Rattus norvegicus: one gene and its partners. The protein of the gene in region 5 interacts with the protein of the main gene of each other region in a pairwise test. Links are inferred from orthologs where the notes say so. Each region holds a gene or a part of one and is shown on either strand. Other genes may lie near its edges. The genes, in order: Ccdc116, Rab3il1, Leng1, Ttc23, Mtus2, Dcx and Cdk5r1.

What was found.
Region 1: the proteins of Mtus2 (region 5) and Ccdc116 interact in binary tests that used the Homo sapiens proteins (3 or more experiments, as listed by UniProt). The two-hybrid records come from large-scale screens. The link is inferred for Rattus norvegicus from reciprocal best matches to the Homo sapiens genes MTUS2 and CCDC116.
Region 2: the proteins of Mtus2 (region 5) and Rab3il1 interact in binary tests that used the Homo sapiens proteins (3 or more experiments, as listed by UniProt). The two-hybrid records come from large-scale screens. The link is inferred for Rattus norvegicus from reciprocal best matches to the Homo sapiens genes MTUS2 and RAB3IL1.
Region 3: the proteins of Mtus2 (region 5) and Leng1 interact in binary tests that used the Homo sapiens proteins (3 or more experiments, as listed by UniProt). The two-hybrid records come from large-scale screens. The link is inferred for Rattus norvegicus from reciprocal best matches to the Homo sapiens genes MTUS2 and LENG1.
Region 4: the proteins of Mtus2 (region 5) and Ttc23 interact in binary tests that used the Homo sapiens proteins (3 or more experiments, as listed by UniProt). The link is inferred for Rattus norvegicus from reciprocal best matches to the Homo sapiens genes MTUS2 and TTC23.
Region 6: the proteins of Mtus2 (region 5) and Dcx interact in binary tests that used the Homo sapiens proteins (3 or more experiments, as listed by UniProt). The link is inferred for Rattus norvegicus from reciprocal best matches to the Homo sapiens genes MTUS2 and DCX.
Region 7: the proteins of Mtus2 (region 5) and Cdk5r1 interact in binary tests that used the Homo sapiens proteins (3 or more experiments, as listed by UniProt). The two-hybrid records come from large-scale screens. The link is inferred for Rattus norvegicus from reciprocal best matches to the Homo sapiens genes MTUS2 and CDK5R1.

The regions. Positions count from the first base shown.
Region 1 is NC_086029.1:97,348,527-97,352,576, reverse strand, and holds the start of Ccdc116 (coiled-coil domain-containing protein 116), read right to left. Parts: upstream 2,801-4,050; 5' UTR 2,691-2,800; exon of another isoform or gene 2,687-2,690; intron 2,578-2,686; 5' UTR 2,510-2,577; coding exon 2,438-2,509; intron 1,536-2,437; coding exon 987-1,535; intron 883-986; coding exon 1-882.
Region 2 is NC_086019.1:216,094,404-216,097,903, forward strand, and holds part of Rab3il1 (guanine nucleotide exchange factor for Rab-3A), read left to right. Parts: intron 1-1,881; coding exon 1,882-2,137; intron 2,138-2,529; coding exon 2,530-2,625; intron 2,626-2,705; coding exon 2,706-2,783; intron 2,784-3,500. UniProt on the Homo sapiens protein: Guanine nucleotide exchange factor (GEF) which may activate RAB3A, a GTPase that regulates synaptic vesicle exocytosis. Promotes the exchange of GDP to GTP, converting inactive GDP-bound Rab proteins into their active GTP-bound form.
Region 3 is NC_086019.1:74,465,982-74,470,142, reverse strand, and holds the start of Leng1 (leukocyte receptor cluster member 1), read right to left. Parts: upstream 2,801-4,161; 5' UTR 2,761-2,800; coding exon 2,629-2,760; intron 1,390-2,628; coding exon 1,210-1,389; intron 539-1,209; coding exon 288-538; intron 1-287. Other genes in the region: Tmc4 (transmembrane channel-like protein 4), read right to left, coding at 3,267-3,335, 3,440-3,518.
Region 4 is NC_086019.1:130,717,917-130,721,416, reverse strand, and holds part of Ttc23 (tetratricopeptide repeat protein 23), read right to left. Parts: exon of another isoform or gene 1,738-3,500; coding exon 1,610-1,737; exon of another isoform or gene 1-1,609. UniProt on the Homo sapiens protein: Participates positively in the ciliary Hedgehog (Hh) signaling.
Region 5 is NC_086030.1:11,968,004-11,971,503, reverse strand, and holds part of Mtus2 (microtubule-associated tumor suppressor candidate 2), read left to right. Parts: intron 1-234; coding exon 235-475; intron 476-3,500. UniProt on the Homo sapiens protein: Binds microtubules. Together with MAPRE1 may target the microtubule depolymerase KIF2C to the plus-end of microtubules. May regulate the dynamics of microtubules at their growing distal tip.
Region 6 is NC_086039.1:112,301,362-112,305,409, reverse strand, and holds the start of Dcx (neuronal migration protein doublecortin), read left to right. Parts: upstream 1-1,248; 5' UTR 1,249-1,292; intron 1,293-1,303; exon of another isoform or gene 1,304-1,468; intron 1,469-1,588; exon of another isoform or gene 1,589-1,785; intron 1,786-3,046; 5' UTR 3,047-3,068; coding exon 3,069-3,432; intron 3,433-4,048. UniProt on the Homo sapiens protein: Microtubule-associated protein required for initial steps of neuronal dispersion and cortex lamination during cerebral cortex development. May act by competing with the putative neuronal protein kinase DCLK1 in binding to a target protein.
Region 7 is NC_086028.1:65,980,766-65,983,716, forward strand, and holds Cdk5r1 (cyclin-dependent kinase 5 activator 1), read left to right. Parts: upstream 1-1,273; 5' UTR 1,274-1,432; coding exon 1,433-2,356; 3' UTR 2,357-2,451; downstream 2,452-2,951. Other genes in the region: uncharacterized protein Cdk5r1l, read right to left, coding at 749-1,273. UniProt on the Homo sapiens protein: p35 is a neuron specific activator of CDK5. The complex p35/CDK5 is required for neurite outgrowth and cortical lamination. Involved in dendritic spine morphogenesis by mediating the EFNA1-EPHA4 signaling. Activator of TPKII.

The DNA of each region.
Region 1 (4,050 bases), on a different chromosome or scaffold from region 5:
GGGAAGGAATGGGGAGAACACAGGGAAAGGGAAATGGGAGTGGAGATGGCAGGGAGTGGCAAGACTATGCTGGACCTGGCCCCTGAGTTGGCCCTGGCAGGAGGCCACCTCCACTGTGATCCCAGGGGCAGGCAGGGTGAGGTGCAGGCCATGGCGGGGCTGAGGTATATGGTTGTGGTTTGAGGCTGTAGTTTGTTTCTGCAATTTGAGGTCAGAGTTAGGAGACTTCAGCATGCACTGGGATGAGGGGATAGGGACATTAGAGACTTCTGTAGGTGTCACCTTGAGCCTGAATCTGGTAGCCATCTGGACTGCATTAGATGGGGAGCCCCTTCTGTCCTTGCTTTTTCTGTGAGATGTCTTAGGGCTGGAGGCCGAGGTGGGAGAATAACAAGTCTCTCCCCTAGCCTCCCTGTCGGTGGGTAAGGAAGCCTTAGAGCTGGGTTGAAGATCGGAGTTCCCAGGAAACACTGGAGACAGCTCTGAGGTAACAGGGAAGAGGGGGAAGCCATTGTGGCGGCAGGCATGGCTCAGCTTGTCTACAGCCTGGCTGACCACACGCTGCAGGGCTGGAAAGAGGTGGTGCTCAGACAGGAAATCCAGGGTACGATGGGGTTCCCTGAGTGGACAATAGGTAGGCAGGTTGAAGGAGGTTGGCTGGTTCAGCAGTGACTTTATCTCCTTGTTTAATTCTTGTTTGAGGAAAATCATCTCTTGTTCTCCGAGTCCCAACTCTGAAGTTTCAGGGGTGACTGAAGTGGAGGCCAGAAGCCCAGAGAACCAAGACAGGGGCTGTTCCCGGGTCGGCTGACTGCTGCTCTGGCTGCCCAGTGAGTCCCATAGCAGGGAATCCCTCTGGGAGCAGTGTTGATTCAGAACTTTCTGCAAAGAGAAAGAAAAGCTAAGAGGGATCCAAGCAGGCGGAGCCCTAGCCGCTAATCTCACGCCCACCTTCTGCTAGCCTTAGCCATGGCACCAGACCTCACCCCTTTGCTTTCCAGTCGTAGCAGCCTCTTGAGGTTTTTCTCAAGCAGGAGTTTGTCCCTCATGGGTGGCAATGAGCCTACGCCTCTGGCACCCAGGTCACTGTCTTGGCTGCGGGACCCCAGCCATCCAGCTGTGACGCTGCTATGGGAGTCAGACATGGAGCTGGAGCAAGATGGGTAATTGTTTGGGTGTCCAGCACACAGCGTGGGCCGAGCACGGTGCCGATGCACAGTGTTGATGCTGGGTCTGCCTCGAGAACGATGCCTACTATTTGGCACCTCCACTCGGTCTTGTACATCCACCAGTGGCACTCCAGCCTCTGTCTTCATGGTAGCCACACATTCTGTTGCCTGCTCCACGACTGTCTGCAAGCTGTCCAGTACCTGACCCTCCGTGAGGAAATCCAGGAAGCCACCAAATGCCCGAGGGCGCCTAAGGTTTTGCTGGTGGCCCTGGCGCTCTGAGTATCGGTTCATTGATGGTAGGTGTGGTACACGCCCAAGCTTGCAAGTTGGCCTCATCTCTGGCAACAGATGCTTCTTGGGCAGCTATATTGGAACAGAGAGGGTTGTCATAACAGGCAGGATGCCCTGCAATGGGTGAGGAGCAGTCCTCCCGGGGTGCCATTAGGAGCTGGTTGGTATTGAACAGTGGAAAACTTTTTTCTTTAAGGTTTCTCGAGGCTAGGAATTAAACCCAGGGTCTTGAACATGATATGCAAATGTTCAGCCACTAAATTACACTTAAAATTTTTTTCAACAATTACTTGTGGGTACATGTGCATGTAGGTATGCCTCAGTGCAGGTATGGCAGCCAAAGGACAATTTGGTGTGACTGGTTCTCTCCTTTTATTATGTGGATCTTGGGGATAAACTGATCATCCCCAAGTCAGATCATCAGTCTTGACTCAAAGTGCCTTCACCCACTTAGATACTTCACCAGCCCTGAGTTACATTTTAGAATCGGGTAATCCTGAGTTTGAATCCCAGCCAGCTCTGCTATCTTCAGGATCTATGACTATGCTCACAACAGCCCTTTTCGAGGGCTTCTCTTCAAATTACAGGTCTATTAGGGTTGCCCTGAAGGTTTCCCAATGCCTCTATTTCATATATGCCAGCCCTAGTTGGGAGTCTGAAAGTGGAGTTCTGTGTTCGTGGTATGAAAAGGCAATTATGGGAGCCCTCCGCCCTCAGGCTCTAGCAAAGGTCTACACTGTCTTCATTGCTGTGCTACACTTGAGGACTCGATTCTGTGTCTCCAGCTTGAGTCCTGTACGCTCCTTCTCAGGGCTCCTGGTCCACCCAAGTACTATCTGGGGCCAAGGGGAGTGGCTCAGCAAGCAGGCATAAGGTAAGGCGACGCTACAGTAAGGATTTCACCAAGTGACCCAGTAAGATCAGCTGGACATGAGAAAGCAGCAGCAAGTGGTGGGTCAGCTGGATATACTTACCCGAGCCACATAGGTGCCGTGAGCAGCCTCGTCGTCAGCCAGATAACCTGAGTGGTGGCGGCACCTTGCCATGATGTGGATAATTAAATTTGTTTTCTGCTTCCTTCTTCAGGTCCTACAGCACAGATGCAGACTCCTCTGTATGGGGCGGAGAGAGGAAGTAAAGTTAGGTCCAGGCCTCCATGGACCCCTCATTCCCTGTACTTGTGTCCTCCAGACGTCCCAACTTTCCCTGCTTGGACTGGTCACTTATCTGTGGACATTCCCAAGTCACTGCCTTTTGTTTGCAACTGTGTCTGGGTCCAAATGTGTGTCCAGACTTCTTTCTTTCAGACCTGAGGCATCCTGGAGCCCCCAACCTGCTTACCAGAGTCTCTGCTGTGCTTCTAGGGGTTCACTCATTCAGCACCCTTTAAAGCTCTACCGCACAGTGCACTGGAATCCTACCCTCGCAGCCTCCCAGGATGCTCATTTACATACCTCATCCTGATTGGCCAGAATCTGGCCTCTCATTCACTATCCTCCCCGACACAATGGTTGGGGGAGGGGCCCAGATTGGCTCCTCCCCCACCTTGCTGGATTTTTAAGTCAAGCCAGCTAAGTAAGTAGCGCTTGGGGATGGTTATAGATAAGACTTTATTCAGCCAAGAGGTCTGAATCTGGGGCTTGTCTAATCCTCAGGGTGAAAGTGATAGCCTCAACTTGTTATTCAAACATCTTCCTCAGCTCATTCCTGGACCTCCTACTCGTTGTCTTCCTCTTAGGACCCCATTCCCTCATTGGTGCAGCGTGGACTAGCCCCTCATCTTCCTTTTTAAGTGAAGAGTCCTGGTTTTCTGCACAGCCTAGTTCCTGTCCCTGCTTTTTCTTGCTGATATGACTTAGTCCCTTAACACCAGCTCCTCATAATGGAGCTGAGCACCCTTCCACAAATGAGTATTACAACACATTTTGCACCTTAAAGTCCATATAAACTCACTTCTACAGTTTTCCTTCTCCCTTCATCCTAGAAAGCCTGTCATTGCCAACATATCCACAGCAAGTCCATCCTCCACTGCCACATTGTTTCTTTCTTGTCTAACAGCTGTACTGTTAGGCCGTGTAGGGCAGGAATCAAAGCAGTGAACCCTAGTCCCTAATAACTCCATTCCTCATACATAAAGTAAATGCTTAATTTTCTCTTCCCAATCTGTGGTTCTCAGGGTCCCATGGCCTCTGGCCTTCCCAAGAGCAGCTTCTCAGAGAGGCCCAGTGGTTGAATGACACTGGATGGTTCAGCAATCACTATGATCAGACACAGCAGTGTTTATGCCAAGAATTTGGCTGAAGCGTTCTCCGAGGCCTCCAACCATTACAAAGCATCATCAGGTACTGTTTTTTGTTTTGTTTTTTTTTTTTTGTTGTTTTTTGTTTTTTGTTTTCTTCTTCTTTTTTTTTTTTTTTTTTTCGGAGCTGGGGACCGAACCCAGGGCCTTGCGCTTCCTAGGCAAGTGCTCTACCACTGAGCTAAATCCCCAACCCCATCAGGTACTGTTATAATCAAACTCTCTCCCTTCTCCCGTGATGCAGGGATCAGATAGGATCGATGAAACCAGAGCAGGCCAGGCTCCAAC
Region 2 (3,500 bases), on a different chromosome or scaffold from region 5:
AGAACAACAGGACTGCTTGCTGCTCTACCTCTAGGGGATCTAATGCTTTCTTCTGGTCCCTATGAGTACAAACACATGTAACATCCATGGACATATATGTGCACATAAATACAAATAAGTCTTCACACACACACACACACACACACACACACACACACACACACACACACACAAACAGAGGCACGAGTAAGCCATGCTGCTATGCAAGCATGGAGACCTGAGTTTGAGCCAGGCATGGTGGCACACTCTTATAATCATCATCCTGGGGAAAGAGGCAAGAGAAGCCCCAAGGCTCCTTATCCACTCAACTGAGGCAACCTAAGATCCCAGTAAGAGACCTGTGATAACTCCAGAGAAGCAACATCCAAGGTTGACCTCTGGCCTCCACATGCATGTGCATAGACATGGCTGTACCAACACAAACATACAGACACTGACACACAGAGAAAACTCCCAGTCCCTGGGCAGAGTTCTCATCCCATACGGCTGCCACAGCACTGATAGGGTTGCCTCAGACCTCAAGAACCCTGTGCCAACAAGACCCCCTCCCCCACCCCAAAAAATGGTATTAGGAAAATCTGTCACACACACTGGTGGAATGGTGAATCTCTGCCCTTACCTTATATTCAATGAGGCCCAGTCTCTGCCAAGCAGAGCCCAGTTCCAGGAGCCTCAAGGTTATACCTTAGGCCTGTTCCAGGGCAGAGAGAAGGCTGGGTTAGGCAGTGGCCAGGGTCATGTTAAAGGAGTTGGCAGTGGGCTCACTCACTGCCGTGGTCTCTGAGAGCTTAGTTTCTTTGTGTTACTCAGAGAGAAACTGAGGCTCAGAGCTTCTCAGGGGCTTGGGGACAAGAGAGAGGCTAAACCCCAGCATTTCCTCCCAGTTATTCCAAGGCCCAGTCTCATTGGCCTTGTTCCTCCAGTGCAGGCCTGGCTGAGCCCCTCCTCCTCACTTCCCCACGGTTATCTGTAGCCCAGCCCCCCCAACCCGCCAAGCCACTGCTGCTCTGAGGCTGCTGGCTCAGGAGCCCCAGATTTTTGCTGAGCTAGCAAAGCCAGAGGCGCTGTTTCTGCACAAACGGTCACTGGCCAGACCTTCCTCTCTTCCTTCTCCAGGGTCTGCTTTCTAGGGTGTGCTGTAGCTTGGAGGTGGGGGTTGATTAAGGACATAACCCCTAGTCCATCTAGGGGCTTCCGATTCAGCAAGCGGAGGGTCCTGAGGCTTCCAGAGGAGGGTGTGTTTGTCTTTAGTCACAGAGAAGGCCAGGGAGAGTTGAATCTTGCTCCTCACAAAATCCAGGGGTGGCAGGAAGTGGGTCTGTTATGCCTGGACTATTTGTAGGCTCTTCCTGCCTGTTGAGGCCTGGTGCTTCCTCTCTAGTCCGCCTTGTGGACTTCTATCATATTGACATGTCCACTAACAATGCTTTGTCATTGATAACATTTGCTTCGCTTTAACAAACCCATTTAATTGGCTCTGCTGTGCCAAGGTTTTCTGCCCATTCCCTTCAACTCTTGGGAGTTAGAATCATTGGGACAATCCTATCTATGGTGTAAGGACCGATGCATTTATATCCATTCGTCTGCTCAACAAAGTGGTGGTCGCCTGCTGTGTACCAAGCCCTGTGCCCAAGGGTGGGGATGGTGGGTAACAAAGGTACATGAGTCCTGCCTTGGCCCCTAAGAAAGTTCGTGCTTGGTCATTCTGCCCTTGTAACAGTCCAGTTACGGTTTAGTTACAGCTTATAGTGGCTCTATTTTACAGATGGACAGACTGAGGCTTACGTGACAGGGATGTGTCCTGGGGTTGGTCCCTGGGCTCAGTTCTGCAGGTCCTGAGTCCTTACCCTGTGTATGCTTATGTCCTCGTTTGCCTTGCAGCCCACCCCAACAAGACGAGGGCCTCCCTGTGGGCCTCTCAGCTATTTCAGTCCCCTGGAAAAACCTGGGCCCCAGCAAAGGTAACAGGAAGTCCCCAGGAGGCCTGGTAGAAGCCTCTGCTTCCTGGGAGGAGGCCGGGGGTGAGGAACACCCAGCAGCTGCTCCATTGGATGTATCACGCCTGCGCAGCTCCTCCATGGAGATCCGAGAGAAGGGCTCTGAATTCCTAAAGGAGGAGCTATACAAAGCCCAGAAGGTGGGTGCTCCAGGGCAGGGTTGGGGACTGAGGTAGAGCAGCTACACTGAGTGACCTCAGATAGCTGTAGAAGGAAGGGAGAGGAGAAACTACTTGTCAAAGCCTGGCCCATGCTGGAGTCCTGGGAACCCAATGGAAGAGGCTGGTTCAACCCAGGGCTTCAAGCACGCTAGGCATGCCCTCTGTCGCTGAAGGCTCAGAAGTCTGAAGTGACTTCCACACATCCTGACTTACCCGGAAGTCTTCTTCCAGCTGGGATGGGATGCCAGGATAGGGTTTTAACTTGCGCATGGGCTAAAGTACCATCGAGTGTCAGATACCTGGTGACAGTCCCAGAGCTGGTGGCTGGGGACCTGGTTAGAGCAGGCTAACAGCCTCCTGCCTGCACCCAGGAGCTGAAGCTTAAGGATGAAGAGTGTGAACGGCTTTGCAAAGTGCGCGCACAGCTGGAGCAGGAGCTGGAGGAGCTGACGGCCAGCCTGTTTGAGGTACGCTGGGCGGCCTGGGAATGGGTGGCCCATGTGTCCAGTGTCCTGTGACCGCTCATGCAGAGATGCTGCCCTTCTAGGAAGCTCACAAGATGGTTCGGGAAGCCAACATGAAGCAGGCAGCATCGGAAAAGCAGTTGAAGGAGGCTTGGGGCAAGGTGAGACCCATCCCTGTGTGCCTAGGCCAGCCCATGGCTCCTGTCATAGTCCCTGATGGGGTGTACAACCCTCAGCTAGCAAGGGCGTGCAGCAGGTCCCTGTCAGACCTACCAGGAACAGGAGAACCCAGGTCTGGGACAGGTAGGGTGGGTCTGAAGTTAAGTAGCCCATGGCACCAGACTCCATCAGTGCTCTTGGTGCACCACTGTCTTCCCTAGGGTCCTCTGGAGCCCAGGAGGATCCAGTGGTTATTGCAGGTCTCCTCCTGCCTCCAAAGTAGAAATGTTGGCCATGGCGGTAGAGCACAGGCAGGGAGTGTCCTCTCTCAGAACGTCTGCTGGCCGATCAGTAAATGTGAAGCTGGGACCGCTTTTCTTTGCTTCTGGGGAACCATGAATACTTAGCAGGAACTCTAGGAAGTTCCTAGATGCCTGCTTCCAGCAGAGTCTCACAGTGTGGCCTGAGGCAGGCCATGTCTCCTGTCAGCCTTGGATTCCCTCTCTCTAGAATAGATGTCTTGGTTGGGGATTTAGCTCAGTGGTAGAGCGCTTGCCTAGCAAGTGCAAGGCCCTGGGTTCGGTCCCCAGCTCCGAAAAGAAAAAAGAAAAAAAAAAAAAAAACAAACTGGCACTTAGAATAGATGTCTTAGAGGTTGTTCCAAGGGCAAGGAGACAGGTACTGTGGGGATGTTTGGTTGCCAGGCTGTGGTAACCATG
Region 3 (4,161 bases), on a different chromosome or scaffold from region 5:
CAGTTTCAGGGGACCCCAATGCCTTCTAGTCTAAAGGCATCGGCAATTACGTGGTACATAGACATGTAACAAGTACTCATTAAAATACACATTAAAAAATATATATATGCTGTATACAAGCTACTGTTCTTAGAATCCTTAAGTGTCTCCACAGAGGTCCCTAGACAGCATACCAAGAACCACTTCATCTTGCCTGACCTGTTTAGCCTTTCTGTGGTACCCTGGCTGGTGTGCTAGATCTTCACAAAGTCTCACTCTGCTCTACTGTGGGCCATGTTTATTCTTACTCTCTGGGCCGTTGTTTTGGAGGCCGTTCCTCTCTGGAAGGATGGCTTTCGCTGCTGTGCCTTTTCTTGCCCAGGTGCTTCTGCATCTCCCTCAAGGGGTCCAGTCGATTTTTGATCTTCTCATCTGGGCTTGGGCCTGGAGGGCAGCCTTTTTGCCCTGGGGGTAGCTGGTACCAGGGAGGTTGAGTTTGGGCCTCTGCTGCACTTTGGCCCAAGTATGTCAGAATACCTAGTGCTTTCTCTTGTCTCTCCTGCAGGGGCAAGAAAACAAAATAGTCTTTTCAGTCCCTCTGGGAGCCCTAGGTGTGGCAATAGAAAAACCCAGCGCCTGAGTTTCTAGAGACGGATTGGTAGGCAGACATTTAACAAGGGAAATTACAAGAACGTTCAGGAACCAGCTTTGCAAAGCATCAGGAGCTTATTTGCAGGAGGAAGAAAAGGAATGCAGTGGCCTGTGCAGTAATGGAAGATGGAAGAAGCTTAATTTGGGAACAGTCCACAGAAAAGCCAAGCAGAGGAGTGATTTTCAGTGGGAGACAGCACCTTCAAAGTTGGGTGAGGTGTAGGAGAGCCACAGTACAAGTCATAGTTTAAAAAGCACAATTGCTGTCTGGAGGTTTGTGCCTGTGATCCCAACACTTGGCCCAGGGGGCCAAGACAGGGGGATTAAAAACTGGAAGGCACCCTGGTCTATGTAGTTGTGATCTCCTCTCAAAATAAAATAGCTTAAGACTTTCTTTAGTCCCATGAAAAAGGTTTAGCCAGTTTAAGTGTTGTATAGCAATAACCAGCTTGTAGGTGATACCTCTCACTGCTAAATTTTCTATGCACTCATCTATCACCATATCCTAACAGTCACAGCCAGTCTCTACCCCACCCACCCATCCCCCCAGGATTCCACCAACAAATGAGGCCAGCTTACTTTTTCCTGTCGTTTCTCTTCCTCATGCTCTTTATTGCCTCTGGGCACTCCTTTTCCTTCTTCCAGCAGCTCCCGAAACAGGTCCACAGGGCCAGAACATGGAGCTCCCTGGTCTGCTGCTTCCAGCTCGGGCAGTGAGTTTCGGCCCCTGGCTTTCTTCCGTAGGAATTCCGTACGGGCCTATGAAGGGTTATAGGCAGTACATTCTGAGTCCAGAAGTGCTGAGGATATAAGAAGGGTCCATGGGCAGGGAGGGCAGTGGTAGCACACATCTTTGATCCCAGCACTCTGGTGGCAGAGGCAGGGGGATTTCTGAATTCAAGGTGAGCCTGTTCTATAGAGTGAGTTAGTTAGTTCCAGAACGACACAGAGAAACCCTGTCTTGAAAAATCAAAGGAAAAAAAGAGATGGGGGAATGGAGGTATTGGGAGCCAAAAAAGACACCACTTCTAACTTTGGGTGGAGAACCATTGTTTTTAAACAGTAAACTGGGCTATCAGAGATAGGTGGGAGAAGACCTCTGGCCTAAAACAGAAGACTTTCCAGCCTGGAGTAATAGGGTAGAGGTGGCTTGTTCAGCTATAGAGCCCCTGCTTAGTGTGTATAGTTCGAAGTTCAGTCCCCAGCACAAGTATGTGCATATTCCCAAACTTGTAGCCAAACATTGCTTTCTGGACAAAGGATCTGAACCCAAGGCATGGCTCCAGGTCACCATTCCAAATACAAACCGACTCCAGATAGAGTCTGAATTGCTCAGGATAGTCTCCAATTCACAATACTCCCCTCTCTGTAGCCTTAGTATCTGGGCGTAATTACAAGCTTCACCTTTTTTTTTTTTTTAAAATTTTAAAGGCCCACACTAATTCATGATCAGATTGGCAAAGAACTTAAGGGTAAACCAAACTGATCGAGTAACTATTAAAGTCTGTGTTAATGCGTGAGTGTACTTCAATACCAGCGTTCAGGTGGCACAGGCAAGCGGATCTCTGAGCTCGAGACCAGCCTAGTGTACACAGCCAGTTCCAGTACAGCAACAGAGACCCTGTTTCAAATAATGCTTCCAGATGTCCTTCGCTCTCTTGCTGAAGCCGTGGCACTCAAAGCAAGGTGACTGCACCCCTCTAAAATGTTCTAAGAGGAATTTCTCAAATCAAGAGCTCTGAAGGGAGCATACACACAGTGGGTGATCAGTATTAACTTGTGCGGGCAACCTATAAAGTAATCAGAATATTTGTCCAACTCTTCCTGTGTGCTAGCCTATGGCCCCTTCAACGCCGGTGGGGAAATCTAGGAAGGTTTTATGGAAGTTAGCACAGGATTTTCAGAGAAACATCGCCGAACACGCCAAACACACCGAGCCGCACCTGACACCAAGTGATAGGCAGGCCGGCCGCGCTTCTGGGCCTGCCCCAGGCTTACCTCTTGCTGAGCGAGCAGCACCCTCCGCTCACGCTCCTTCTCCTCCTCCCGGGCCTGGGCCTCGTCGCGTCGCACGCGAGCGACATTGTCCTTGTTCCGGACGTGCCAGCTCTTCTTGGGTAAGATATTCATGGCTCCAAAGCCGACCTCCGACTGTCAGGCCCACTCTTCAGCACTTCCGATTGGCTCGAGGATGCTCCCGCCCCATGGTTCCACCCTAGCCCGTGCATTGGTTCTGGGCCAATTGCCACACCCCCCTAAACCTTTGTTAGAGATGATTGGCTGAGAAGCTTTCCATCTCAGCCAATCCTAAGCATTTGTAACCTGACCGGTCGCTGCAGGAAGAGGCTGGCGAAGATCTGCCTTGCCTGTCTATCCCTTTATGCAGACACAACCAAGCCCTTCAAGCCGTCATGGACCTGGCCCCTCCCCAAACCTCGTCCACGCCACCAGAACGGGGTTTCAAAACGCTTAATGGACTTGGCTATTGTTTATTAACATGGTTCAATTGAGAGTGTGGCATTCGGTGGCAGAAGGCGTGGGGTTTGATTCCAGAGATGAGAGGGCCCCACTGCTTGGTATATGAAGTCAATGAAGTTTATGATGGGTGTGAGGGGCTGAAGGTCCAGCCAGACTAATCAGGAAACTCCATTCCTTGAGCTCAGAGCTACAGCTCGCTGGGCTAGGAAGACTTTATTTTGTACTTCCTGTGGGCAAAAAAAGAGTGAAAGTGAAGCACACCTCCTCACCAGTGTTCCCCTTTCATCTTCTCATAGAGAGAGCCCTGCCTGGGGAAATCAGCCTAGCTCACCGTCTCTATCTGGCGTTTGAGCTCAGAGATGAGGCGTCCATAACAGTTAGCCAGGGCTACTGTATACATCATCAGGATGCTAAAGAAAACAGGAATGAAAATCACTCTAGAAATCATCTTCATCATATGGCTCCTTAGAAACCAGGATCAGGAGGCTGGAGAGATGGCTCGTAACCCGCACATTAGATGCACTTCCAAAGGTCCCAGGTTCAACGCCCAGCACCCAACAGCCACATGGCAGCTTACGATTGTAACTCAAGTTCGTTACTTCACACAGACATATGTGTCCAAATACCAACACACATAAAACTAAATGAATAAGTAAATTAAAGAAATCACTATCAGGATTCCCAAATCCCTTAAAACCCTTCTTGAGACTCTGAATGCCACCCTTTATCCTCTCATCTCAGACCCAAGAGTACAGACCCTTTGGATGGGTCTGGGGATTTTGCTTAAACCAGAGGTTCAGGTTCCATACCACCTCCCCCTTCATCAAATCCATAAATCCATACCCTAGCCCTTCTTCCTCAGACCCAGGAGTCCAAACCCAGATGTCTTTTCTTAGATCCTATGCATTCGTACTGCAACTCTCCTGCTCTTGATCTAGGCATCCAGGCCAGCCCAACTTCTCCTCTGTTGTACATAGGCATCCAGTCCTCTCTAACACTCAGGTGCCCCGCACCCTACTCCTTTCTCTTTCAAACACTAAATCGCACACATTC
Region 4 (3,500 bases), on a different chromosome or scaffold from region 5:
TGTGCACGTGCGTGTTTTAGAAAAAGTCAGTATGGGCTGGAGAGATGGCTCAGTCTTTGTACTTTCAAGCACGAGGGTCTGAGTTCAGTCCGTGGAACCCACATAAAAATGCTGGGTGTGGCAGCAGGCACCTGTAATCACAGAACTAGGGAGGCAAAGAGAAATGGATCCCCGGGGCTTGCTGGTCAGCCAGTCTAGCCTACTTGGTGAGTTGCAATACCCTGTCATAAAGGATGTGTCTGGGCTTCCTGAGGATGGCATCTACAGCTTGTCCTCTGGTCTCCACATGTGTGCCCATGCACCTGTACACACACGATTGTGTAAACCCACACCTGCCTTAAGATTTTTAAAAAAGCTTTGATTGCAGGCAATTAGCTTAGGGAAGGAACAAAGTGAGCCTAGAAGTGTGGGGTTTGCCGTGAGGGCATTGCACTCACTGGAGGGCCAACGAGTGTCCATCGATCAGATGCGCTAGACTGAATAGACAGACAAGTGCAAGACAGGACGAAGCCCCTGGGGAAGAGAAGGTGCCACAGTGGTCCTGACAAGAGATGAAGCCTGGCAGGAGGGGAAGGGTTAAACCAGGTGTCTATTAAGGAAACCTGGAAGTGAGTGAGGAAGCTTCAAAGTTCCCATAGGACCGAGATAGCGTCCAGGGTGGGAATCTAAGGCCATGGTCCTCTATCTCTGTTACGTGATCCCCTAGCAGGGCCTTCTCTATCTTTGATTGGGCGATTCGTAAGAACAGTGAGACACTATTTGCTATAGTGACTCTGGATCTACTCCGGCCTGACGGACTCGGGTGAGTAGAGAAGAAGAGTCATGTTCCTTAGCTGACAGAAAAGAAACTAGGGATGAGGAGAGCGCTGTGGATGAGGAGAGCGCTGTGGGAGCAAGTTTCCAGACAACACAGGAAAGACACTTTCCATCTTCTTCATCTCCAAGATTTGCTGTGCTGGGCTGCGCTTCTCTCTCTCTCTCTCTCTCTCTCTCTCTCTCTCTCTCTCTCTCTCTCTCTCCCTCTCTCTCTCTCTCCCTCAGCCTCTGAGGTATCTACGGTCTCCCTTTGGAACTGTTACAGTTTGCGGGGCACATGCTCCTTGGCATTATATCACAGTGGGTATAGGCTCTGGCACCTGTAAGTGCCCTGCTCCCCTTCTCTAAGTGATGTCGAGCGTGCCGCCGTTCCAGGCCAGCAGTGGGGAGGGAGAGCTGAAACCGATGTGCTCTGTAGTTTCCATTATGTAAAAATCCCACTCAGTGCTCAGAATGAGAAGGGAAAAGCTGGCTGCACCGACTGCCACACGGCATCCCAGCTGGAGGCACCACAGGCTGTCCTGAGAAGGGTTCTGTCACTGGGTGCTCACGGTTTTTAAGCCTCAGTGGTGATCATTCAGAGTTGGATGGACCATTTACTTTCTCACAGTTTTGTCTCTAAGAGAAAGTATCTGGTTGCTGCCCAGAGCGGCTCCCTCATTTATTTACCTGGGTCCCTCCAAGGCTAGGACACACTCTGTACATGGTAGGTGCTCAGTAGATGCTGGCAGAGTGAAGAAGTCTTTGGCGTGCCATGTGAATAGCTTGACAACTGTGATCTAAACTCACTTACTTCTTTTTGTCCAATGGTTTGCAGAAAACTGCAAAATTCATCTTGAATCGAAAGGAACTTGGCTTTTTCTGTTCCTTCGGAATCCTTGAGGTAAGTCATGCTTTCCTGAAAATACTTCTCGGCCACATCTGAGAAAAGCATAGAACAACAATTTTGAAAACAGCTGAAAGACCCAAGCAGAGATGGAGCAAAGATGTTGTTAGTGACAGTGAAACATTTAAAACACGAGCATTTGGAGAAGAGACGTCAGTCCAAGGGACTCTCTGGGGCCCACTATCCTGCCTGTGCTGGCAGAGATTATTTAAGTCTCAGAAGGAGACTGCAACCTGCTTTCCTTATTTTTAGTGTTCTTTGTGACATACAAAGCAAAATTAATGGGGTGAGAAAGGAGAAACTGTCCCCAGACCTGAGCACATTAGGACACATTAGGGTATTGTCATGTTGAGTGAGAGTGCATTATCTCTGCTTAGACATCAGTCACTCTTCACAGCTCACGCAGTTTTATGGACTCTAACTGTAATCTTGTTATATATTTCTACAACACACATATACATACACACACACAAACACATATATACACACACACAAACACACATACACACATACACATAAACACATACACACATATACACACACATACACACATATACACACACATACACACACAAACACACACATGGACACACATGGACACACACACACACACACACACACACACACACACACACCAATAAACAAAACAGAACCAAAAGAAAAAAAAGACAAAAAAAAAAGTCTGGTTGATAAACTACTGAAGAACCCCAACCATTCTAAACCCTTAAACACACAAATTAATAAAACAAAAAGTTTCAAGTAAATGACAACCATAAAAGCAGGACAGGGAAGAGCCCAGGCATGGAAAATGAAAATGAAATTAAAAACCAGAACTGTGACTATAGACAGCCCTCTTGTTATACCAAATGCCTGAGCTAATCTAATGCAACTTAAAGTGAGGAAGGCCATGTTTTGCTCATGTTGTCGGAGGTGTCGGTCTATGACTCAGTGACTGTTGCCTCTGCTCTGCCGAGGCTAAGAGAACCTGTAATATCATGTCATGGTAACTAGAAGTGGGGAGAATCAGGAAGGACCGGGGTTCCCGACGTCACCGCTGAGAGGTTCTGAGGCTGGTCAATAGTAGTAGCACAGGCTGTGGGCCAAGCCTTTAGTATAAGGGCCTCAGGAGGGCCACAGCCAGACTGTGGCAAACAAGGGAAAGTGGCTGAGCACTCCACAGACCTATTAGAAACAGTGTATCCACTCAGCACCCGGGTTTCCCAGGCTGATCAGGACTGGGGATGGGGCCTGAGGCTGGTTTGTGGTAGGAAGCTGAGTGAAGCTGCTGGTAAGAGGCCAGCATGGTGCTTCAAAGGCGACTTCACTGCTACTCATCCCTGTGGCTCTGGGCCAGAGTCCTGAGTGTGCTGTGAGATCACAGGTCTCTGCTGGCTTTTAGAAAGTGACATCTCTTGGGCACCACTGAATCACATGGGCTTTTGTTATTAATTTGTTTTTTGAGACAGCCCTGGCTGTCCTTGAACTCACAGAGATCAACCTGCCTCTGCACTCTAGAGTGCTGGCACCACTATGCCAGACACCTAGGGTTTTTCTGACCATAGAGAATCTTCTCCAGCTGGTGACAGAAAAAGGAGTCAGAGACCCTGGGAGCTGCTGTGGTTTGGGTCTAGATTGCCTCCCAGTGGCTCACATGCTAAAGGCTTGGTTTCCAGACTGTGAAACTATTAGAAGGTAGTGAGACATTTAAGAGAGAATCTAACTGAAGGAAATCATGCTACTGAGGGTGTGCACCTGGCTCCCTTCTTTTCTCTCTCCTTTCTTTCTGGCTGCTAGGAGG
Region 5 (3,500 bases):
AATAATGAAATTAAAAAGAAACCCCAAAACTGAGCTCTTTTTTCTCCCCTGGAGTATTTGCACCAGCAGGCACCGAAGCTCTTACACCGTCTTCGTACTGTCATTGTAAAGGCGGGGACCCTGGGCTGGGCGTGGCACCAGATCTCTGAGCGAGCAGCCAGTCCTGTGGTGGCGCTTATCATTTGAGTGTGGATCTCCTGCCTGTGATTAGCTCTCTCTGAACTCTCATTTTAGGTCACAGACCACCCTGGGAAAGAAGAATTTTGCTCTCCTCCCTACACCCACTACGAAGTCCCTCCCACTTTCTACCGCTCTGCAATGCTCCTTAAGCCTCAGCTGGGGTTGGGCGCCATGTCCCGACTCCCATCAACCAAGAGCAGGATTCTGATCGCAAGCCAGAGGTCCTCAGCGGGTTCCATCCATCCACCCGGATCAATCGCAACAGCCACCAGTTTCTACGGTTCTGATCCTTCAGGTAATTAAGTCTAACCATGACTCTTTTTTCCTGTTGTGCATTTAAATATCAACTATGAAATATCGTGACTGTCTCCTTACGACTGCCCCTAATAAGAGAAGCCACTCCCTACTCCTCCGTCTGTGTAGACACAGATGTCCTTGAGAATTCACCTGCAGGGGCTCCCATCTTCCACGCCGCTGTCACAAAACATGGGCCCTTGTTACCACCTCCTGGCTTCTTGTGTAAAGTAATATACATGTTACTCTTAGGATAAATGATTTGAAGTTAATTATTGTGTGAAAATATATCTAGACATAAAAAAATGTTTATCTTTTTTAATTTTATGTGTATGACGTATTGCACCACCTGCATGCAGTGCCAACCGAGGCCAGAAGAGGGCATCAGATACCCGGGAATTGGAGTTAACCAACCATTCTAAGTTGTCAGATGGATGCTAGGAATCAAACCCTGTCCTCTGGAGGAAAAACAGACAGACAACTTCTCTTAACCTCTGCACCATCTCCAGCCTATATTTGAATACGTGTGTGTGTGTGTGCACGTGCTAATTTTCTAGATAGTTTATAGCAGCTATTTTGCCCTAGAGTTTCTCGAAAGTCCCATTTCCTCGAAACTATTGGGTTTTACCATTTTATTTTTGAGCCAAGTCTCACACGTGGCCCTGGCTGGCCTAGAACTCACTATACATACCAGGCTGGCCTCAACTGTCACCATGCCCAGTGACCATTGAGATTATTGTCGGAGAGAAACTTTTTCATCTCTTTGCCATGTATTACTTTGTGAATCGTCGTGTACTCAGAGAGTTACTGATGGCCCTATTTATTTGTTTTCTTTAATAAGCTTCTGTATTGGTGATTCCCACAGTAGCTGTGTATCTTAATAGAATTACCTGTGCTTAGAGCCGGTACAAGTCTGCTGCTTTTCAGTTAGTAGGTAATGATTTCTGGGGGGCTGTCAGCCCAGCTTGCTGTGTAGGGACAAAGAGATCAACACACAAAAATATCCTTGCCCTCTGGGAGCTTACATTTTAAAATATGGGGATGTTTTGTTTTAAAAAAAAAAGCCAGTAAATTACACGGTCTGTTGAAGTGAGTATTGAAGAAAAAGAAACATTAGTGAGGGAGGAGGGGGCCTTTGGAAAAGAAGGAAGGGCGTTGTCTCTTTAAACAGTAGCCAATCCCCAGGGAAGATGAGGGAGGAGCTGTAGTAATTTTTTTTCCCTTCCTGGTCCCATGCTCCTGGAATAATGACTCCAAGATTCAAATATTTTTATAAATACCTAAGCCAAAAGCTTTGGCTGTTCCCTGCTGGTTTATAATTTAATAATCCCATTTATAATTTAATAATCCCATTATTGTCGTCTAAGCTTGGCCCTCCCCCAGAATCCTTCCTGCCTGTTGGATGTCCCACCTTCTAGTTCCTGCCTCAGCTACAGGCCAATCAGCTCTAATTGACAAGTGTTGCATCCATACAGTACACAAGAGATTTTCTTTGCCGGAGAATCCTGGAGGACTTCTGAAGTATTGCTTTCCAGGAAGTGGGAGGAGCCAACGCAAAGGCCGCTGGGAAGCACGGGACTGAATGAAGGGGAGAGTGGCAGAGGAATGGGATGGGGACAGGGAGGGAAGTTGGGGTCAGATAAAGTCTCTTTGCAGGGATTTGACTCTTCCTGTGAGAGGCAGCTGTTGGAGGACTTGAAGCTGGCACACAGGGCACAGTCCAGCTTTTTCTTGTTTAAGCACGATCTCCTTGCCTATAGGGAGGAGAGCAGAAGGTCAGATAACCTATATCATAGGTCATTTCTGGAGTCTACTGAGTGTGTACTCACACGGTCTCTTCACTTGGGCTATGGAACAAATTCAAGCTTGTGTGAGCTGTGAGAGTTTTGTTTGTTTTTGTCTGCCTAATAACATCTCAAAACTTTGTTTTGTCCACCTTGTAAGGCTTTCCACGTTACATCTACAGACTGATGATAAACATTTAAAGAGTGCGTCTCAACCTACCAACGCTGAGATTCTTTAACACAGTTCCTCAGGTTGTGGTGACACACCCCCCCCCCCCCATTTCTGAACTGTAATGTCAATATCTGTGTTTTCTGATGGTCTTAGGTGACCCCTGTGGAAGGGTCCTTTGATTACCAAGGGGGTCATGACCCACAGTTTGAGAACCCCTGATGAGAGCTTTAAGCGACTCTGATGCAGATTCTTAGACATCCCGTTCTCAAGACTCCCTTCTCTCTGCCTCCTCCAACCTAGATGTCGATCGTCCAAAGCCCTCACCTCTGTGCCTCCTCCATTCGCATTCCTCCTTCAAGTGCTGCAGCCTGGAACCTGCCCTCTGAGTGGGCTTTCTCCCGTTCTTTTCTCTCAAGGGTCAGGACCCTGTGAGGGCTCCTGTGCGGTTCCTGAAGTCAGTGGCTGGCCTTTGCCCACATTTTGATAGTTCTTGTTTCCCAGCTGTTCACAGCATGCCGCTGATGCCTCTTGGGTAGGATGTCCCTTACATAATCACAGAAGCTGCTAGCCCAGCCTCCTATGGCTTTCCTGTGTCTAATACAAGGCTTACTCATCTGTGTTTACGCTTTTAGTTCCCGATTACCACGTGGGCTTATTTGCGCGATGTTCGAAGGCCCTCTTTGATGCATGTCTGTCCACGGTTGTGGTTTTGTGTTTAGCCGTCATTCATACTCGATCGATTCAGATACTCTGTCGTGTCTCCTGGGCATTGCCGTATCTGTTTTACGGGGCTCTGAGCAGCACCGCACTGTCAGAAGAGAGCCGGAGTTAGGAGCAGGATGCACGCTTCTCTGAGTGACCGAGCATTTACATGTTTCCAATGTCAAGTAAACACTTACATCCTAAAATCTACGAATAGGTTAGATACCTGAGTTCTAATACACTAGCTGGATGTTTCCCAGCTCAGGTAGGAAGCCTCTTAAATGCCTAATAGCCGTGAGCTCTAAGTGAGTCAGGAGAGGTCCCCAATGTTTCCATTCCACTGCTGGTTTTGCAGGCAGCACCAGGTG
Region 6 (4,048 bases), on a different chromosome or scaffold from region 5:
CTCTTCTTATGGGCTGCTTTCATGTTTTTTGATCTCTCTCTCTCTCTCTCTCTCTCTCTCTCTCTCTCTCTCTCTCCACACACACACACACACACACACACACACACACACACACACGTGCACACACACACACAGAAAGAGAGAGTTACATATGAGAGAAAATAAATCCTTTTGTCTCTCTTAGCCTAGAATACCTCACTCAGTATAACATTTTCAGTTCCCCACAATTTCTTCATAATTTTACTTTTTACCAATGGATGATTAAAATTGTGCATATATCTTGCATTTTCATTACCTATTCATCTGTTAGCAGACATCTGGGCTGTTTCTATTTTCTGGCTTTTATGAATAGAGCAGTAATAAACATGGATATGCAAGTGTCTCTATGGTAGGGTATAGTCTCCCTTGGGTATATGCCCAGGAGTAGGAAGGTGAAACATTAACCGATGTTTTACATCAGTCTAAAATGTTTTGTAGACATGTTGGGCTTGGGGACCTAAGTGCTGGCAAATTCTAGTAGCAAGGAAGCAGAACAGAGGCTGAAATTTTTCCACAAGTTAGAGGTCAGCCTGGGCTACACAGTGAGTTCCAGAACAGCTATGACTATAAAGCTGGACCCTGGCTCGATAAAACAACTGAACAAAAACTTGGAGGAGTGCCACTTTTCAATTCTAGCCTTCATGATTTCTGCAACTATTTCCCCTTGTATTATTAATTTGCCATACCCGCTGACTTCATTAAACAAAACAAAACCAAAAACAACAACAACAATAACAAAAAACAGTGTCGGATGCGCAAGCTCAAATGTCAGAAAATTTACAAATTTTTATTTTCTTCAAAGAAGGTAAAATGAAGAGTGCTGTAATTTCTAAGAAACTTGATTTGGCCTGCTGAGTCCAGCCACTAGGCAGATTAGGCCAAGGATTTTTAGCCAAGTAAAATTGCCAATTTTCTAAGAGAAAGGGCTAGCACATTGCTCATTAGAGCATTCTGAGCTTGCCTGTGCAATCCTTTTTTTTTCCTACCCTGCAATTTCCTGTGGGTTATAAACGAAACCTTTCTAGCTGTTAATGCAGGCTGTGAATTGAAGAAAAAAAAGCATGTAATTAATCATAGGAGGTTGGGGGTGTTCGCTAAGCTTCAGTTACAGGGGAGAAGCTGGACAAGGCACTAGGACCTAGAAGGCAACTATCCACCCTGGCAGGAATTTCTTGCTTGGAGCTCAGACAACAAAGGCATAGAGAGATTGGTTTTCTTTCTCACAGCATCTCCACCCAACCAGCAGAAAACCGGTGAGTGGGGCTTTCGAGTGATTTTCAAGCAGAATGTAACAGATGTCAAACGGGAGAAGCACAAGGCACACGCCTTTCTTTCTCTGTGTGTCCGCCTCTTTCTTCTCTTTTATTTGCCTTATTCTGTAGGATTTTTTTGTCCTCTAAGATTCTACCTGGGATTTTCCTTTGGAAAAGTGAGTTTGTTGTTTCTTTGTTTTCACTATGATGCTAATTTAGAATAATAGCACTTCGGATTCTAAAGCGTATCTTTATTTGCACAGCCTGCCTGGGGAAAATGCTTGCTACTCATCTTGAGGAGGTGGGGTCTTACTACTGCAGGTTGTCTGACAGAGACAATGCTGAGCTCAGCATAGGTCATGGTGACACTGGAGAAAAAGGGGGGACCGAACCTGGCAAATAGACCAGCTACCAGCCCCCTTTTATCTCCTGTCTCCCCGGTTCCTTGCAAATCTTGATGTGGCAGTGTATTGCAGCTGAGTCCTCTTGCTTTGTGAGTCTTTTTCCTCCATCTGTGAGATGAATGCTAATAGTTTGGTTTCTTGGATGTCAAGTTATTACCTTTGTAAGCGGTCGAGGCTTTGGTTATATTATTTGGTTGCATGTTTTCATTGTTGCGTTCTTTTTTATTTCCTGGTGGGGATGGGCTCGGGGGGGGGGTAGAGGGGGTGGAAATCCAAGCTTTACAGATGACCTTTTTCTTTTGCCCCCATTAATTCACCTAAGCAATAGACAAGTTTGAAGTGAATTGCCTGCTTTGAGGACAAAATGTTCTGTCAGTCAGGGGAGGAAACCCAGAACAATGAAAGGTGTCCTCGCTTGTAAAGGTCCCATATGCTATTCAGGGACTCATTTGGGAATCTTTCGCCAATTATTTCATTAAGAGATATCGCTGCATTGGTCGGGGAGGGGATGAAGCACCTGAAAGGAGAAAAAGGATTCTGTGATCAAATGGAATCAAGAGGAAAGCAGAGCTAACAGCTTGCTAAATAACTGGTTTTTTGACAATCCCTCCCCCCTTTTAGACCCCAGCCTACTTCTTATGGATGCGGTATAGCAGCACCAGCTTGATGGAGAGAGGGTTTGATGAATAGCACAAAGACACTGGGTATTCCCTGGAGGCTGTCCCTTTAAAAGAGAATCCTAGTTTATTCTGGGGGAGGGGATACACATATTAGAGCAGGAAAAAAGGGACTGGAAATAAAACTAATACACCCCCATACTAGTCATTGTCCTGGGTTGTAAAGACTGCTTCCTATGCTGGAGATGCTAACCTTGGCTAGTTCCCTCTATTTCTCTTTGAGGGGATTTTGTCAGGCTATGGATTCATTTACAACTGTTAGTCATGTGGCCATGTGTGAAGTAGCAGATGCCAGTTTTAATGTATTTTGCCCGAAGTTACAATTTGATAGGAGCCACTGTCAGGAAGCTCCAGGTTTTTAAGCTGTTTCAACACCCCCTCCCAAATTTGGAACAGTGCCAGAAGTGCCACCCTTTCTATCTCTTTCTCCTATCCCCCTTCCCACCATTCAGTCCTCAGTCCACTGCCCAGCCCCCTCCTTCTACTCTATTAAGATCAATATTCCTGCAGGTCAGGGACAAGCAGCAGATGGGTCTCAGGCTTTTTTCAACCAGTTCTTTTCACAGGCAGCAGATTGCAGCTCTGGATCTGGCTAATATTTTAATTCTTTTCTCCCCTTACCCTTCCTTATTCTTTGCCTCTCCTTATCCCCGCCCCTTTTCCTAACAATCAGGTTGCTGTGGTTCCACCAAAATATGGAACTTGATTTTGGACATTTTGACGAACGAGACAAAGCATCTAGAAATATGAGAGGGTCACGGATGAATGGACTTCCAAGTCCCACTCATAGTGCTCACTGTAGCTTCTACAGAACCAGAACCTTGCAGGCATTAAGTAATGAGAAGAAGGCCAAGAAGGTACGTTTCTACCGCAATGGGGACCGTTACTTCAAGGGGATTGTGTACGCTGTTTCTTCTGACCGTTTTCGTAGTTTTGATGCATTGCTGGCTGACCTGACTCGATCCTTGTCCGACAACATCAACCTGCCTCAGGGAGTGCGCTACATTTACACTATTGATGGATCCAGAAAGATTGGAAGCATGGATGAACTGGAAGAAGGTAATTTAAGTAGCGAGTAGTGGGTGGTAGCCCCTGGAGGGAAAGGACATCCCTGCTTCTGGTTATACTTTTAGTCTTCCTTGAAAGAAACTGGCTATTTGTTTGCCAAAACATCAGGTTGACGGATGGCTCAGGCTTCTGATCCCAAAGACACCCTTAACTGTCATTCCTTGTGGGGTTCCATCTCTGCTGTGGTTGAAATGTATGTGGGTCTGCTAATGCTAAATGTGCTTATCTGCCTAGGTATACAAAGGGAAATCTGAATTGTGACACTCACTCTAGATAGTGTTCATAGGTAACCCTGGGTAGCACCATTAGAGCAGGCCACGAAACCATTAGGGGAAGGAAGAATGTATGGTTGGTTTAACAGATAAAAATTGTGCCCACATTTCCTATGAATCACTGGGAAATTATTTGGGAATTGCCAGTCATTAGAAATACATGCCTCGATATAGGAATCCCTGGATATGTTCGCAGAGGATTAGACTTTTAGGTAAGTGGTTGCTGCTCAGCTGTTGCTTTGGAAAAGCTCACTTACGGGCGTGTCCATGGGGCTGAGATCATTGGGACAGATACGAAGGAAAGCTGTAGGTATGTCTGGTATTTTAATGAACAC
Region 7 (2,951 bases), on a different chromosome or scaffold from region 5:
TTTGGGTACAAAAAGAAACTGGCACTTTCTAACTTGGAAGTACTTCACCTAATGACCTCAACAAGATTCTTGTTTTGGGTAGTTTGCTCAACCGTTGCAGGTGTTGTCAGGAATTCTCTTAGGTTCGGAGTTGGGAGTCTGAGTTAAGATACAGGTTGGCTTGTTTGACAGTATGGGTCTCCAGAACCAGTCCGAAATGAGTGACTTGTAAATAAGCAGTGGCCTTTGTGAAGGATATGGAGGCTGCTTGTGAACTATGCGTCGCTAGTCAGAACCAGATTTATTTATTTACGTATTTAATTTTGCAATTTTACTGTCATCAAATTTTAAAACGGGCAAATGAGAGACTGGCCTGAAGGCGCAGCAGCTTTGATTTTTGACAGCTGTCCTGACGGGATCTCTAGGCCGCCCTCGCCCTTCTGGCCTGGCTTTCTAGAGTCATGATGGGTGCCGGGCCTTTACGCCGATGCGGGATGCGGCTTTCCCTTGTGGGAGCCCCGGCCAGCTCCACAACGCCCGCAGCCTCCGCTGAGGGGGCCGCGGCGGGAACAAAGGCAGCACGTGTCTGGGCGGGGCCGCCCTCCGCCCCGCCCGCTCGCCCGTTCGCCCGCACGCCCAGCGAGCTCCGCTGCGCGGCTCCGGGGCTCAGGAGGCCGGGCTGCGCCGCGCGGCGCCGGCGGCTTCCAGGTGGAGACCGGGCTTCGCGCGTTCCCGCCGCCCGCGCTGCGACCCGTATGGGGCGCGCCCACTAGAGGCGCCATTGTGCGCCGCTCGCGCTGAAGATGCGAGTGCGGCGAGACTGAGCGGGCTTGTGGACCGCGCGCGCAATCTGGAGAGGCAGCTTGGGGGGCGCTCGCCGGGGCGGGGCGGGGCGGGGCCGGCGGGTGCGCGGCGGAGACGCAGGCGGGGGCCGGGCGGGGGCGGGGCCGCGGCGCCTGCAGAACCTTGGACAGAAGCTGAGAGCCGCCGCCGCCGCCGCGCCGAGCCGCGCCGAGCCGCGCCGAGCCCCGGGGCCGCGGCGCGCATTGCGGAGGGTCTGGGACGCAGCGGCTGCGCCTGCCGCGGGGAGCCTGCCTGCGGGTAAGCCTCCGCGGACCGGGGCCGTGTGCGCGGCCTGGTTGGACGCCTGCGGCGGCGGCCGCTGCGGCGCTTGGCTGGTGCCGCAGTGGAAGCATAGGCTGGGGCTCCACGGGGCCGCAGCCCGGGGGGCTCGGGCCTCGGAAGTGCGGGCGGAGGGGCGCGGCGCGGAGCCCCGCCCGGGGCTGAGAACCATCTTGTTTTCCACGCAGATCCGCAGGGCTACACGCGTCGTGTCCCGGGAGCGCCTCCTTTCTCTCTGCGGCCGCTACAGGCTTGGTAAGCCTTTTTCTCCCTCCGGCCGGCAGGCTGGGCGCGCAGGGGTGCCGGCCCCTGCCGGGCGCGCAGTGGCACCATGGGCACGGTGCTGTCCCTGTCCCCCAGCTATCGAAAGGCCACACTGTTTGAGGATGGCGCGGCCACCGTGGGCCACTACACGGCCGTGCAGAACAGCAAGAACGCCAAGGACAAGAACCTGAAGCGGCACTCCATCATCTCGGTACTGCCTTGGAAGAGGATCGTGGCGGTGTCAGCGAAGAAGAAGAACTCCAAGAAGGCGCAGCCCAACAGCAGCTACCAGAGCAACATCGCGCACCTCAACAATGAGAACCTGAAGAAGTCGCTGTCGTGTGCCAACCTGTCCACGTTCGCCCAGCCCCCGCCGGCCCAGCCGCCCGCACCCCCAGCCAGCCAGCTTTCTGGCTCCCAGACTGGGGTCTCCTCTTCTGTCAAGAAGGCCCCGCACCCTGCCATCACCTCCGCAGGAACACCCAAACGGGTCATCGTCCAGGCGTCCACTAGTGAGCTGCTGCGCTGCCTGGGTGAGTTTCTCTGCCGCCGGTGCTACCGCCTGAAGCACTTGTCCCCAACGGACCCCGTGCTCTGGCTGCGCAGCGTGGACCGCTCCCTGCTTCTGCAGGGATGGCAGGACCAGGGTTTCATCACACCGGCCAATGTGGTCTTCCTCTACATGCTCTGCAGGGATGTTATCTCCTCTGAGGTGGGCTCGGACCACGAGCTCCAGGCTGTCCTGCTGACCTGTCTGTACCTCTCCTATTCCTACATGGGCAATGAAATCTCCTACCCGCTCAAGCCCTTCCTGGTGGAGAGCTGCAAGGAAGCCTTTTGGGACCGTTGCCTCTCAGTTATCAACCTCATGAGCTCCAAGATGCTGCAGATCAATGCTGACCCACACTATTTCACACAAGTGTTCTCTGACTTGAAGAATGAGAGTGGTCAGGAGGACAAGAAGCGACTCCTCCTGGGGCTCGATCGGTGAGCCCCTGTAGCTGGTATCCTGGCTCAAGGATTCCATTCGTTTTTAAAATTTATTATTAAAGAATCAAGTTTTGTGTACAGTATGTGTCTAGCAGAGCCACCAAGGGCCTCTTCCCACGTTCTTTCCTTGGGTTTTTTTTTTAGCCCTTTCAAGAACTCTGGGGACTTTCGAACTGATGAACCTTGTGGGAACCCAGAAGATGCATTCAGAGCCACCTCGGCTGCTGACCACTCTCTTTCCGGGGCTCAAGGGACTGACTCGTCTACGTCACCTGTACCCACGATGGATCCAGGGTAGATGAGGCTTCCCGCTGTCCCATGATCTGAGCTGAGCCCCGAGGCTGGTGGCCCAGGAGGAACCAGCCCTTTTCTGGGTATTGTTTCATTCTCTCAAAGGCTCCTGCAGCCAGCCGTTCTGGTGTGGCAAGATCTCCACTGCCCCGGGGCATCAGTGAAGGCGCCTGGGAGTGGGTCTGGTGCAAAGATTGTTGGTGACTGTTGGCCGCGCACGGCCCTGGTCTGCTGCTTGCTGTTCAGAGAGAAGGGCTTTCTTTCCTTTCCTGGCAGGATGGAGCTCCCTCCCCGTCCTTTTGTCT